3 linked regions of the Drosophila melanogaster genome follow. Changing the gene in region 2 together with the main gene of any one other region gives a genetic interaction. Each region holds a gene or a part of one and is shown on either strand. Other genes may lie near its edges.

Region 1 (4,503 bases), on a different chromosome or scaffold from region 2:
CATCACCCACAACCACAACTCCCGGAACGCCGGGCATCAAAACGAAAATCAAGAAAAGCGAAAGCGAGTACGATTCGTGCAGCGAGTGACTGGAGTTGAAAGCTTTCTGAGTTGTGCCTTTACAGATACTACTGATTAATTGTTAATGTTCTCCATGTGCTACTAACCGCTGCGAGGCTCAGCTCAATGAGTCTCCAGCAGCCCTGGGTTAAGTTCTCCCATGCTGACTCATGTCTTTTCAACTTTGAGTTCGAAAAGGCGTTGTCTGTGTGTCCAGTTTTAACGATTGCATGTTAACTTATAAAAATGGAATTTACATAAGTGCCTTTAATTTAAAAAAAAAAGAAAACAAAAACTGAAATAGATAATATATTGTGAAGTGCTTTGCAAAAAAGGGGTATTTCTTGTTAACTGGAAAGGATTTATAGCTTCTGAAGAAGACTATTATACATATAAGAATGAATAAACTCAAATTTGTTGTGGTTCTCCAAACTTTAAAGGCGAAAGATAACCGAAAGTTGATATCCGAACTTTTGTAGGTTCGTCATTAGGGTTTTTCCACGCTAAAAGCTGCTTTTGTTAGATATACTATGTTTTGAAAAGGCTCATTTTAATTTATAACTTTTCTAGTTCGTTTGCATTTATTTTTTTTGTTGAGTTTTTTTTTGTCCTTAACTGACATTGCAGGAAATTTAATAACTGAGTTTACATTGCTTTTTGTTATGTAAGAAAGTTGCATAATTTTTTCATTATTGTTGAAGTTTTTGATGTTATTCGAAAGCGTTTCGTTCTGTTGCTGCAGTTGTTCTTGCTGTTGTTTTTGTTGCTGTTGTTGTTGCTGTTGTAAGTAGTTAGATGTTCTTGTTGTTGTTGTTGCTGTTCTGGTTGTTGCGCCAAAGAATTTATGCCTTGGACTCGGCCTCGCTGGCGGTGGCCTGCGATTGGGCATCGCTCGATTTGCCATCGTCGACCTTGCCAAAGACGCAGCAAGGACACTTCTCCTTGAGGGCCAGGCGATATTTCGGATGGCTATACGGAATGAAAATAAAAAATTGGTTAAATATTAAGGTATATACGTTTCATAGCCCATAACCAACCTGATGCCGTATACAATTGGATTGTAGCAGGCGGCCGATTTGGCGAAGCAAGCTCCCCAAATGGTATTCAGTGGTGTAAGGCCCTCGAACTTGAACAGTCCCATGCAGTTGATGACCAGGTATGGTGTCCACGCCATGAACCACAGCGTGATGGTGACCAGAGCCACCTTGGCCAGCTTGCCCTCGGCGCTCTTCTCGGCATCCTCAGAGGAGCGGAGGGACTTGACATTCATCTTCTTGGCCTGCTCGCGCATGGCCTTCTCGTGGGCGGAGACAGCCTGTGGGAGGATATATCGGGTTAAGCGACTGGGATATGCGAGTCTCGTCGCCACTTACAGCAATGATGAACCAGTAAGAGTAGCAGATCAGGAACAGCGGAATATAGTACACGAAGATGGAGTAGAAGATCAGGTATGAGCGTGGGTTCCAGTCGCGTTCCAAGTAGTCAATACCGCACGAGGTCAGGTTACCCTCCGGCACATACCTTTTAGATTAAGAATATATATTTATAGGATAATGTTAGGTGGTAATAATATTAATACAATTGTAATTTGTAAACCTTTTGTTTGTAATTTAAGTTTTTAAACATTTGTATATAGTAGCTTTGATCATTTTTTAAAAAATGGGTTCCCAGAAGGTTTACCATTTCAAGGACTCACCTGCTCCAGCCGAAGGCGGGCGCCAGGCACCAAATGCTCGACATGAACCAGATGTAGGCAATCTTGCCCAGGGCCAGCGGAATGGTCATCGGCCGGCCGGCCATGCCCTTGACGATCACTTGGTAGCGATCCAGGGAGATCATGCACATGGACCAGATGGAGCTGCAGCCAAAGGCCGAGCCCAGTCCGGCGTATATGTCGCACATCATGGGTCCGAGCACCCAGGTCTCGAAATACAGATTTATGCCCATCATGGGCGTGTTTGTGATCATGATGCCAAAGTCGGAGATGGCCAGGTTGATGACCAGCAGGTTAGCGGGCGTGCGCAGTGATTTGGTGGTGGCGAATATGTAGATCACCACGCCATTTCCGCACCAGGAAATCATGCCGATCATGATCATGTAGGCGGTCAGGATCTTGGCCCAAATGGGGTCCATGGCGGGGAACTGGTTCCAGTACGGGCTGATCAGGTGGGCCATGTCGGGCGTGACCTTGTCCACCACCGATCCATTGGACAGGGGGGCAAAGTGTGGCCCCAGTTGCGCGGCTGCTACTGCAAAGCTGCAACACCGAAGCAAATGTTAAATTGCTAACCAGAACATCCAGTGGATCCACCGATCGTACCTCTCCATTGTGTTTTGGTTACTGGCTGCGTCACTATATCCCGCCTATATCACACTGTCTACATAAAAAGCTGCAAATTCACTAACAATATTTCTAACACTTTTTACATAAAGGGTTCCTGGATTCTGAATATTTCACTGGGGCGGACTAGTCGCGGCGATTGGTCGTTGGAAACCTGCAATGTCTGCATTCTGCCGCATGGCTTTTATAGTTTTCGCGGTGCTCGTGTAACCCCTGCTCTTGAAATTCAATTAGGCCAGCCTAAAAATATGTCTGCAATGTGCAGAGGAAAGTGTCGACAGCTTTTGGCTTATAATCATAATATCCATAACGAAAGCAAGCGCACATCGCAATGGGCCAATGTCAATAGTTAAAGGCATTTCAAGGGTTTCCACTGGGGGTTCTGGCCGAGTATTATTCTTGAGTCTCCAGATTGTGCAGAAAGCAATGGCGAAAGTCAGCGATTTAATGTGTCAATGCCTAGACAAATTTGAAGAATATTATGAAAACATATCGTAGCAGAAGAAATATCAGTATCGTTCGCCTGCGACACCAGTGCGTATGCGCAATCAAGTATACGCAGTGTGTGCGCCGATGAACGCACATCTTGAGGGCTCTGCTAATCTTGGATTATCTTAAAAAGAATGCCAGCTTTTGGAAGTAGTAAAATAATCTATTTAAATTAAGAATATGAACACCCCAGACGCTAAGCCGCTTATGGATTTTTTGTGCTGATTGATCTTTTCGCACCTCCATTGAATTTTCCGAACATGTTTTGTTTCTTTTCTTTTTGGTGTGGGCAGCTTGGATTTTATTTTGTCAGTCCAGCTTTGGCATAAAAGCCTTTTGTTCGCCTTTGTGCGATGGCTCAACACATCAGCTTGAATTGGGTCAAGTTTTAGGCTAATCCAAATGGCCAAATGGGATGCCACGCTTTGCGCCCAACCCAAATATGGAACTAAACCGAAATAACTGTCAGCTGGTGTGACAGTCGACACATGTCGGCAGATCTTTCGGTTTAAATCAATTACACACCGCAAAACAATACAAAAAAAGCGCAGGTAATAAATATTCATATAAAGTTAGCCAGCGCAAAAAACTAACAAAAATACCGAGGCGCAAAACCGGAAGCTGCGCTCATATCGCCATTATCATTACCATCAATTTGATCATCATGATCATTATATTGGCGTCATCGTTAGCCGCACTTGCGGTTCCCATACTTACGTATTTACCTACAGTTCTGTGTATGCATATATACAAATAATCTGGGTATAAACCATGAATCGCATTTCAATTTATTCGGCATTTTCGGGTTTCGCTAAACAACAAAAGTCCCCCGCCCACCTGCTAGATGGCCCAAACATAAAAGCCAAGTAACGAAATGGGTATAGCAACAACAGAGACATATGGACAAGCCAACTTGCAACAAACATTGCGATGTGAAGTGGAAGAAGGCCGCCGAAGGCGGGGAAGAAGACGATCATTTAGCATTAGCAAATAAGCGAGATAAACGCTGCGATCCGTAGACGTTGTTATTGTTGGGGAATTTGTTGTTTTCCTGCTCAATGAGGCGGGCAAATTTGAAACTAGAGAGGCAGAACCAAACTTACCCGGCACTTTGAATGCCCTTCTCTGTAATATTTAATACGACAATAATACATTTATGTTGATCGTGTATTGATAACGATAAAGATTTGAGTTCGGGGTGTATGTACCTGAAAGTATGCTCTGTATATTTCACGAATTTAATAAGTAAGTAAAGTATAAGTAAGTATAATATAATATGCTTATAATATAATATTATTATTATATTCAAATAATAGCGTTTTATTATAATACCTGGTATTTACGTGACATGTCCAAACTTCTCAAACGAACCGTGACACCCTGGCTCCAGGGCACAGTGTATAATTAACAAACACCTATGATTTGATTTTTGTATTTTTATGTTCGACAATGGATTCGCGCTCGCCAGTGTGAGTGACGCGTGTGTGAGTGTGCGTGTGAGTGGGTAAACGGCGGCAAGTGTTCTGCCGACGTCGCTGCCGCTGCGCCGTCGTGTGGGGGTAGGTGAGAGCGCAGAGAGAGAGAGCGAGAGGATGATGGAGCGGCTGCTCAAA
Region 2 (4,874 bases):
TTCTCTCAGTGTCCTGATCATAGTTCGTGTTGGCTTGTGTGTTTAACTTACGTAGATATGTATTTAATTAATTGGCTTCGGCTTTTGTTGTTCCTGCTTTTGCTACCTATTTTTGTTTGTTATTCTTGTTTATTTATATTTGTTTGTTTTTTCCCGCCTTGCGAATTTCAGTTTGAAGAGCATTGCAAGATTTACAGTTTGATCAGTCGGCTGTCGCACTCTCTCGCTCTCTCCACGTTTCCTTAAGTTTACTCACAACAGGTAACACTGTATTTGGTTGCACTTGTTTTTTTTATTTTTTGTATTTCAGCTCACAGCCACTGCAAAAAATATGCGATTGCTGTGAAAATGTACACACATAAAAAAAAGAAAAAGAAATAGAACAGGTAATAATAATACAATGGGTAAACATGCGGCAAACAAAACCGAAACTGACACCAAAACGAAACACGTTGCCGTTTCGCTCTCTCTCCGTGCCGTGTTCCCTTGTTTATCGCGGATTATATTATGCGAGCGGACTAACGGGAAAAGCTCCGGCGGACGACCACTGACCAACTGAGAACGGAGAGCCAGCAACGGAGAACTTTTATCTCAAGTACAGTGGGGCCTTTTTGTGCAGACGGATAAGTGCTGATTTAAATAATTAATCTGCATATGAATATATTGAACAAACTAAACTGCTCTATAAATGCTATGAAACTAAACAGTACACATTGATGACTATCCACTTTTATGGCCAGCTATATACGTGCGACGAATGACTACTGTACCGGCGCTCTCTGCTGCTCTTGCCCGCTCTTTCTGCGTGGGTGATGATCGTGCGAGAGAGCAAGTGCAAATATGATTATTGTTCCTTCGCCTGCCGTTCTCCTCTCCATTTCTTCCGCCCCATCATGCAGCCACACACCAATACCTATGGTGCGTTTGTGTGGGTGCGATGAGTGTGCGACGGCGTTCGCTTTAACGGTTTGTTTGTTATTTTATTATTATAGCTTTATTGCACAATCCCAGGCCACCCACCGCCCACTGGCACGCCCCCTTTCGCTCGGTTGCAGTTCAAACAAACAAAAGGAAATGAGGGAGAAGCATAATAAAGCTTCTGATCGCCACACTTGCCACAAAAAGTAAGCTACGTAGAACTACAGTAGAGCTTGAATAATGCACATTTGCAGCTTGGGCGAGAGATGGAAAATATGAGTATTTGCTAATTAACACCTACAAAATTAAAAAGAAAAAAAATGATAAAGCTAAATGGGAATTGGATGATTTAAAGTATTTGCGGCTCAATTTTTTTAAATTTGTTTTGTTTATCGGTCGTAAATCATTATTTTTTTTATTTTGAAATAACAGTGTCGAATAACTCAGTGATTTTACACTAAAGTTTAAATATTTTAAACTCTTAAATTTTTCGAGTAAAATATTGTATTGTTAACAGAAAAGTGAGCGTTTATAAAAAAATATCAATCTTACAAGCGATTCATGAATATGTTGTACCATGTCTTTTGTTTCTTTCAGTGCACAGTGGCTGCGTGGACGTCGACAGAGGGCAAAACAAGTGGCCGTCGTTAGTGCGAGCGAGACGCGGCGACCAAGTGCGGATGGGTGCGAGCGAGAGGGCTGGCGGACTGGCAAATTGTTGTTTGCTCTGCCGACGTCGTTTTTTGCGTGTGTAAATTTGAATACTTCAATTTTATGTGTGCTTTTCCCTCCCCACCACATATCCACACCATCCTAACAACAACAACCAGCACCTTGTGTTCGTGTTTGCGTCGGCGTGCGCGCAAGTAAATTTCTTCTAATTTAATATTTTGTTTATATTATTTATTCATATACTTATGTATTTGCGTAGCCCCTCCCACAACTAACCCTCCTTCGAGCACTTGTTTGTTTATGTATTTCACCTGCTCCTGCTCCGCTCCAGCCCACGTTTCGACCATTTCTTGCCCCTCGTCACGGCCAAGTTTACGTTTTTGGTAAATCATTTACAATTTGGATTTCCGATCGCTTTTCGAAAACCCCCTCTCGAAATATCAACAATCAAGCACTTTGCCAGATGCACAGAAAGAAACTGATGTGATTTCAATGGCTTACTAGCTGTTCGATATTTGATTAAGTTGATGTCTCTAAAGAAGGAAAACGTTTTCCACAACTTTTCTTCTTAAACTCGGAAAGCGATCTGCATGCAATCGAAAACTTTTACTGCAGTCTTTCATTCGTACAAATGCGCTACGAAAATAATTTAACAACTTACACATGGATCACATTACCACTTTTATCAATGAGTAATTGTAAATATTTGTTGAAAGCTATTTGAATTTTTGCCGTTAGTTTTTAGTGATTTATGTACTTAGGAACACACTGAATTCCAATGTGCAATTCCGGCAAATTGGCTACTAAGCGGGCTTTAAAAACTAATTTCGCTTCTGCAACCCTCAAAACAGAGAACTTTTGAATATGCAAATGCAAATCAACAAAAAACAAAAAAACGTATTTTTCGCAATCTGCCTCCTACCTTAGATTCTCCGCAGCTCCTCTCCACCTCCTTTTCACGCTCTTGTCTCTCTTTTGAAGCTTCCTTCGCGTTCGCGTTTGTTTGACTTTGATTCCGTTTGGTTGGTTTGTTTGTTGTTGCCACTCTTTGGCTGTTTCTGTTTTTATGTTGTTATCTCTTTCTTGTCAGCTTCTCTGCACTTTCAAAAAACAAACACTGTAAAAAAAAAATGAGTCTTGTTTACCACGCGCGAGTATGGGAAATTCTCGGGAAACCAACTCGTAAAAAAAATATTTAAAAGGGAAAACAAGAGCAGGGCAAGGCGAAAAGGAGTTACAGAAAGCGCGTGTGGCTGTGATTTATTTTATTATACGGTTTCGCCCACAAAGGACTTCACTGAGCTTTTAGTGCGTCTATGTTTTTCGTTCTATTTTTCCAAGGCTTCAGTTTTTTTACACGGAATTTTGACCGTTTTGTTTTTCGTTTGTTTTTATTTGTTGTCTGTTGTTGTTGGTTTCCGCAGCACAAATGAAAATTCGCGTCCGTTTCGCACGAGTGTTAGTGATGTAAAAAAGCATCGAATGCATTGACCACCGATGTTTCTCGACGATACATTTCAGTGCTTGCGCTTGGTATCGATTGGCTTCTGTTAACCTCAGTGGCACAGCTTGCAGTCTCTAGCACGGACTCAAACCTGTATGTTAACTTTTTAATATTTAATTGGCAGGGACTTCAACCAAAGATACATATGTGAATGACTTCTACTAACCACATTGCATCTGAGAGCTTTTTAGCAATTTCGAAAGGAAGGCTTTAAAACAGAGAGACATAAATGCATCAAATATAAATATAGTAATATTAAATATATACTCATCATACGTGGACACCGATTGTTTTTCAAAATATCCGGGTGAAAAGCTTGAGCCCTCGGGTGGTAATCGATAGGCGCAGTCAGCTGTTCTTCGTTCCTATCGTCTTGCTTGCACAATAATTTCAGCGGCATATTTCCATAATTCACTGCATTTTCCCCATTTACCGAATCAAAATGCGTCTAACTAACGTTTTGTTCAAAAAGGTGAAGAGCAAGTGAGTAATTTGGACATCCAATTTGTTCTTTTTGTTAAAACCAACCGTTTTTACAGGCGCATCATGGTCGTACTGGAAAGTGTGGTCAGTGGACATCAGTTTAATGCTTTTCGCGATCGCTTGGCCGACAAATTGGAGATAATACGCTTCGATCCGTACAGTGAGTGCCGGCCATCACTGACTTTATGCATATGCACTGATGTTGCCCATGTTTCTTTTTCAGTTCAACAGGAAAGCCTTTATCGTGAACGCAAGAAAATCCGCAGCGCCTAAGATAACCATTTTTTGTTAGTGAAAAAAATAAAATTTACAACTATTGGAAACACCAAAAAACAACCGAGATATATGTGCGAATGTGGGTGCTTTATTTTCGGCAGAATAGGAGCATTATAAATCTGGTTACATATTTATACAAAAATATTAATTTACGCTCGTTTTAGATACACATTCGCATCGATACTTAATTCTAATTATCAACAGCAACTCGCTTTCGATTGCCGTCTACTTAAACGGCTTCTCGGTCATAAGAAGACCATGCTCCCACAGGGCGGTGGCGACCTCTATCTTGCGAGCTGAAGACTCCAATGGCAACTGATCAATGGTGAGGTAAAATGGATAGGCCGATATGAGGAGCTCAACGGCTTTAGCTTCCTCTGGCAGAATCTCCATGAAATAGGGCTCGTACTTGCAGTAATCCAGGCCATTGTCCACATGGTGGTAGATACGCACGCTGCCATCGGACTCGGTCACCAGACGCAGAATGTTGGCACGCAGCAGGCGCACGGATGTCTTTTTATTGAATTTGTAATCGCAGACGCAGTTGCCCTGCTCATCGGCATCACTGCGTGCCCCATGAACAGTGCGCACCTCCTCCGAGGGCAATACGATCGGCGGAAGTGCCTCGTGCTGGAACTTCTTGGCCATCTGGTCGACGGCCTCATCAATATCATCTTCGGAGGGCATCAAGTAATTGGTCACCAGCTTCTGCACATTCTCCACCAGCTGTTTGCGCGACCCGCAGTCATTTCCCTTGTAGGCATTGCCCAAAACTTGAAAAGTGTGCAGCGGCAAGCCGCGACGCAAGGCCACACTCCGATCGACGGCCTTCTTAAGAACCATGGGCATTAGTGTCTCTAGAAGATTGGCATATGCCTGCTGTTGGTAAACACTCAAGGTAATGTGCAGCGAGTGCTGTTGCTCTTCGGTGATGGCCTGGTGAACAGCGCCTCTCGGGAAATATAGTACATCGCCGGCGCTTAGTACCTCATCAATTATGGGCTTACCCAGCTGCTCTTGA
Region 3 (3,945 bases), on a different chromosome or scaffold from region 2:
GTGCCGCGCATTGACCTCCTGGGCGGACTCACCACGCTCCAGATTCCAAATCCTAAAAAGGTGACAAAAGTGGACAGTTGTTACTAACCATAAAAATGTCCTGTTTTTTGAAAGCCTAAGATCATTCCACTTACCTTGTGGTAAAATCATAATTGGCCGATGCCAAGACCGCTGCCGAGTGCGGTGAACAGGCCAATCGCCGGACAGCGAATTCTCCAGAGTACAGCTCAAAGACGTGCGTCCTCATCTTGCGCAGATCCCAGCCGCGGATCAGACCGTCCGAACCTCCAGTGACCAGGACATTGCGATCGAAGTGCGACCAGTCGCAGCATAGTGCCTCACTCGCATGCGCCTCGATGCTCATCAGGGGTTTACCTGCAAAGTCAAGAGAGTTCCATAAGTTAAGATGTCCATCGGTACTTACGCTTGCAAACAGATTGGCGATCAGGGGCGAGAACTTGGCCCCGTAGATCAGATCGTTGTGGCCCACAAATGTGGTGATGGAGTTCTGTCTGTTGCAGTCCCACAATTTCAGTGTACAATCCCAGCTGCCCGAGAGCAGCGTGTGGTAGTTCCACTTCTCGCCCCAGTCCAGGCTGTACACCTCGTTCTTGTGCTCCTGCAGGCAGATCAGCGGCTGTTTCGGCGTCAGCTGGTTGCTCGCCGATTCGCCATCCAATCCGCACCAGATCTGAAGCGATCCATCTCCGGAGGCAGTGGCGGCGATATCGGCGGCATACGGACACCAGGCGACGTCGAACAATCCATCGGACCACTCTAGGCGGCACAGCTCTCCGAGACTCTGGCCATCTGTGGATGAGGAATTTGTGTTGGAGTTCTGTTCCAGCAGAAAGAGGGAACCACCTCCAGCAAGACCGTACAGTTGGCTGGGTATCGAAAAAAAATGGTTTTCTATTAGTATATTGTTGGTTTTAGAGCTTAAGATTGATCTCACCTTGTAGCTAGCAGCAAGTAGTTAGCCTCGAAAGGCGAAAAGCGCAGGCTATAGCCATGTCGGTCTGTGGTGGTGTGTGTCTGTGTCTGCATCTTGGTTCTAGATCTCAACTGCAAAGAAAAAAAAAGGAGAGATTCAAAATAATACCAATTTCTCTGGACCTTAAATATTATCTAACATTAACTACAATGAATTGCGACCTTTGGTAAGCTAGTTGTAAGAAATGCCAATTTCAATTATACCTCTCACATTAAAATCAATATATCGACGTTTGATACATAACAAAATTAAAAACATCTAAGGTTTCTCCTTGCTGCCCACTGATGTTTGGCTAAGAGAGAACAAAACTGGCCGATTGATAACAACCCGGTAACACCAAATCGGATGCTAATCCAGCTCCAACCTACCATGCTCAATTATTCAACAGTTGGCCAAATGACCTCGTACTAGGTCGGAAAATCGGAAAAAGATACTTGACATTAGCCAATTTGCTCGGGCAAGTGGCAAACTGCGCAGAAAATAGAACAACCCCTGGAAGCAGCTTGTTTGCAGTTTTCCCTTAGTTCCTATGGTTCTATCTTATTGTCGTGTTGGACAAGCCAACAAACAAGTGCATAACGAGCAAATCCAGTTAGTGGCCAGAATGAAGACCCACGGACAGGGCCAGGGCAAAGGTATATAAGCAGGTTGTACGGCACTTGGGTTTCGCATTTTCCTCCGCCGAACGGAAAACTCTATAACGCGCATCGCCCGACTTAGCCTCGAATTGCCCAGTTGCATTTGCCAGGAATCAAAGAAATCCACTAATCCACAATGGTTGTATCCGTGAAGGTCTTTAAGAAGGCCACGCCCAACGGCAAGGTCACCTTTTATCTGGGACGCCGCGACTTCATCGACCACATCGACTACTGTGATCCCGTCGATGGAGTGATTGTGGTGGAACCGGACTATCTAAAGAACAGGAAAGTCTTTGGCCAACTGGCCACCACCTATCGCTATGGTCGCGAGGAGGACGAGGTCATGGGAGTGAAGTTCTCCAAGGAGCTTATCCTGTGCCGGGAGCAAATTGTGCCCATGACCAATCCCAACATGGAGATGACACCGATGCAGGAGAAGCTGGTCCGCAAACTGGGCAGCAACGCCTATCCGTTCACCTTCCACTTCCCGCCCAATTCGCCCAGCTCCGTTACTCTGCAGCAGGAGGGCGACGACAATGGCAAGCCCCTGGGCGTCGAGTACACCATCCGGGCATTTGTGGGCGACTCCGAGGACGATCGCCAGCACAAGCGGAGCATGGTCAGTCTGGTGATCAAGAAGCTGCAGTACGCTCCCCTCAATCGTGGCCAGCGTCTGCCCAGCTCGCTGGTCAGCAAGGGATTCACCTTCTCGAATGGCAAGATCAGTCTGGAGGTTACGCTGGACAGGGAGATCTACTATCATGGCGAGAAGACGGCTGCCACCGTCCAGGTGTCGAACAACTCCAAGAAGTCCGTGAAGAGCATCAAGTGCTTCATTGTGCAGCACACTGAGATCACCATGGTGAACGCCCAGTTCAGCAAGCATGTGGCCCAGCTGGAGACCAAGGAGGGCTGCCCCATCACTCCGGGCGCCAATCTCACCAAGACCTTCTACTTGATTCCGCTGGCGGCTAACAACAAGGATCGCCATGGTAGGATTTGGATGTGATAGTTGTGATTCTGGATAGTTTCTAATGGATTATTTAATTGTGAACTCAGGTATCGCCCTGGATGGTCACTTGAAGGACGAGGATGTCAACCTGGCTTCATCCACCATGGTGCAGGAGGGCAAGTCCACGGGAGATGCCTGTGGTATTGTCATCTCGTACTCGGTGCGCATTAAGCTCAACTGCGGCACTCTGGGAGGTGAAATGCAGACGGATGTGCCCTTCAAGCTACTCCAACCGGCACCTGGTAAGCTTTAGAAGATTACTTGAACTTGACTTCTAGTTTGTAATTCCTTTGATGTGGTATAGGAACCATTGAGAAGAAGCGCTCGAATGCCATGAAGAAAATGAAGTCCATCGAGCAGCACCGCAATGTGAAGGGCTATTACCAGGATGATGACGATAATATTGTATTCGAGGACTTCGCCAAGATGCGCATGAACAATGTGAACATGGCGGACTAGGCCACCGATCTTCAATCTCTTCTAGCTCTGTTGTGAACCGAATTGAACTAAATCGAAAGCACTGAAAATTTGTTGCAGCAGTCTCTCGTGGAGGCCACAATCTTTGTATTATAATCGTATCTATAATGTAACTTTGGTGGATCTGGAGTTTGTACCCGTACATATGCATGTTGATGAGTTGAACAGACCTCGTGTCGCTATATTATAAATGTGTTATGGCTATCAAAAGCACTCACCTTTTCTCTCGTTTGCGATGTAGTATCCAAAAGTGATTCGGTAAGGATTCGGTTTTTGGTAGTGGATTGTTCTTGGCGGTGCTGTGGGTTTCAACTTCAGAAGTCGAATGATCTAAACAACTGCGCAGCTCGACGACGAAGGATCTGCTGGCAGGAATTCTAAGGGTGATTTTTCAACGATGACAGGGGGTTGAAAAGCCCAATGCTTATAGGTCACATCGTAGGCTTTCAACCCCTTGCAAGAAGCAACAGGCTGCCAGGATATGTGTTCCACCAATCAGGATCAACCAGAACTGGATATGGCCGGCTCTAACGGTCAACGGAAGTTCCAAGCTCCAGATGTTGACAATGCGTTTGCCAAAATACACAATTTTTGTGTATGCTAAATAGCCCAAGCTTTTGACCTTGATGATGGCTAAGGCCGCCAGCTGCCAGCAGTTTGATTCTAGGTCTCATCCCCGTCAGTCTAGCTGATTTTCCTCTTTTTTTTGGTTTTTTCTATTTTACAATTTTCTCGCATTTTATTTGCCATATCTTATATAAGCCCTGCAGCTGACCGTTGGAGCATTGCACAATCCGGGGCAGCAGCGTCGATCGATTTCACAC

What was found. A genetic interaction does not mean that the proteins touch.
Region 1: of norpA (region 2) and ninaE, changing one suppresses a phenotype caused by changing the other (phenotypic suppression), as found in Drosophila melanogaster (3 studies listed by BioGRID).
Region 3: of norpA (region 2) and Arr2, changing one suppresses a phenotype caused by changing the other (phenotypic suppression), as found in Drosophila melanogaster (3 studies listed by BioGRID).

Annotation. Positions count from the first base shown.
Region 1 is NT_033777.3:19,885,643-19,890,145, forward strand, and holds ninaE (neither inactivation nor afterpotential E), read right to left. Parts: upstream 2,565-4,503; 5' UTR 2,389-2,564; coding exon 2,381-2,388; intron 2,318-2,380; coding exon 1,757-2,317; intron 1,582-1,756; coding exon 1,434-1,581; intron 1,376-1,433; coding exon 1,098-1,375; intron 1,030-1,097; coding exon 903-1,029; 3' UTR 613-902; downstream 1-612. Other genes in the region: Ask1 (apoptotic signal-regulating kinase 1), read left to right, coding at 1-89. UniProt on the Drosophila melanogaster protein: Visual pigments are the light-absorbing molecules that mediate vision. They consist of an apoprotein, opsin, covalently linked to cis-retinal.
Region 2 is NC_004354.4:4,320,794-4,325,667, reverse strand, and holds the start of norpA (no receptor potential A), read right to left. Parts: upstream 3,043-4,874; 5' UTR 2,513-3,042; intron 2,060-2,512; exon of another isoform or gene 1,867-2,059; intron 321-1,866; 5' UTR 52-320; intron 1-51. Other genes in the region: mRpL33 (mitochondrial ribosomal protein L33), read left to right, coding at 3,537-3,577, 3,634-3,737, 3,801-3,850; NO66 (nucleolar protein 66), read right to left, coding at 4,079-4,874. UniProt on the Drosophila melanogaster protein: The production of the second messenger molecules diacylglycerol (DAG) and inositol 1,4,5-trisphosphate (IP3) is mediated by activated phosphatidylinositol-specific phospholipase C enzymes. Essential component of the phototransduction pathway.
Region 3 is NT_037436.4:8,646,649-8,650,593, reverse strand, and holds Arr2 (arrestin 2), read left to right. Parts: upstream 1-1,657; 5' UTR 1,658-1,768; coding exon 1,769-2,624; intron 2,625-2,691; coding exon 2,692-2,886; intron 2,887-2,948; coding exon 2,949-3,103; 3' UTR 3,104-3,333; downstream 3,334-3,945. Other genes in the region: Pex7 (peroxin 7), read right to left, coding at 1-52, 135-887, 956-1,047. UniProt on the Drosophila melanogaster protein: Regulates photoreceptor cell deactivation. Arr1 and Arr2 proteins are mediators of rhodopsin inactivation and are essential for the termination of the phototransduction cascade.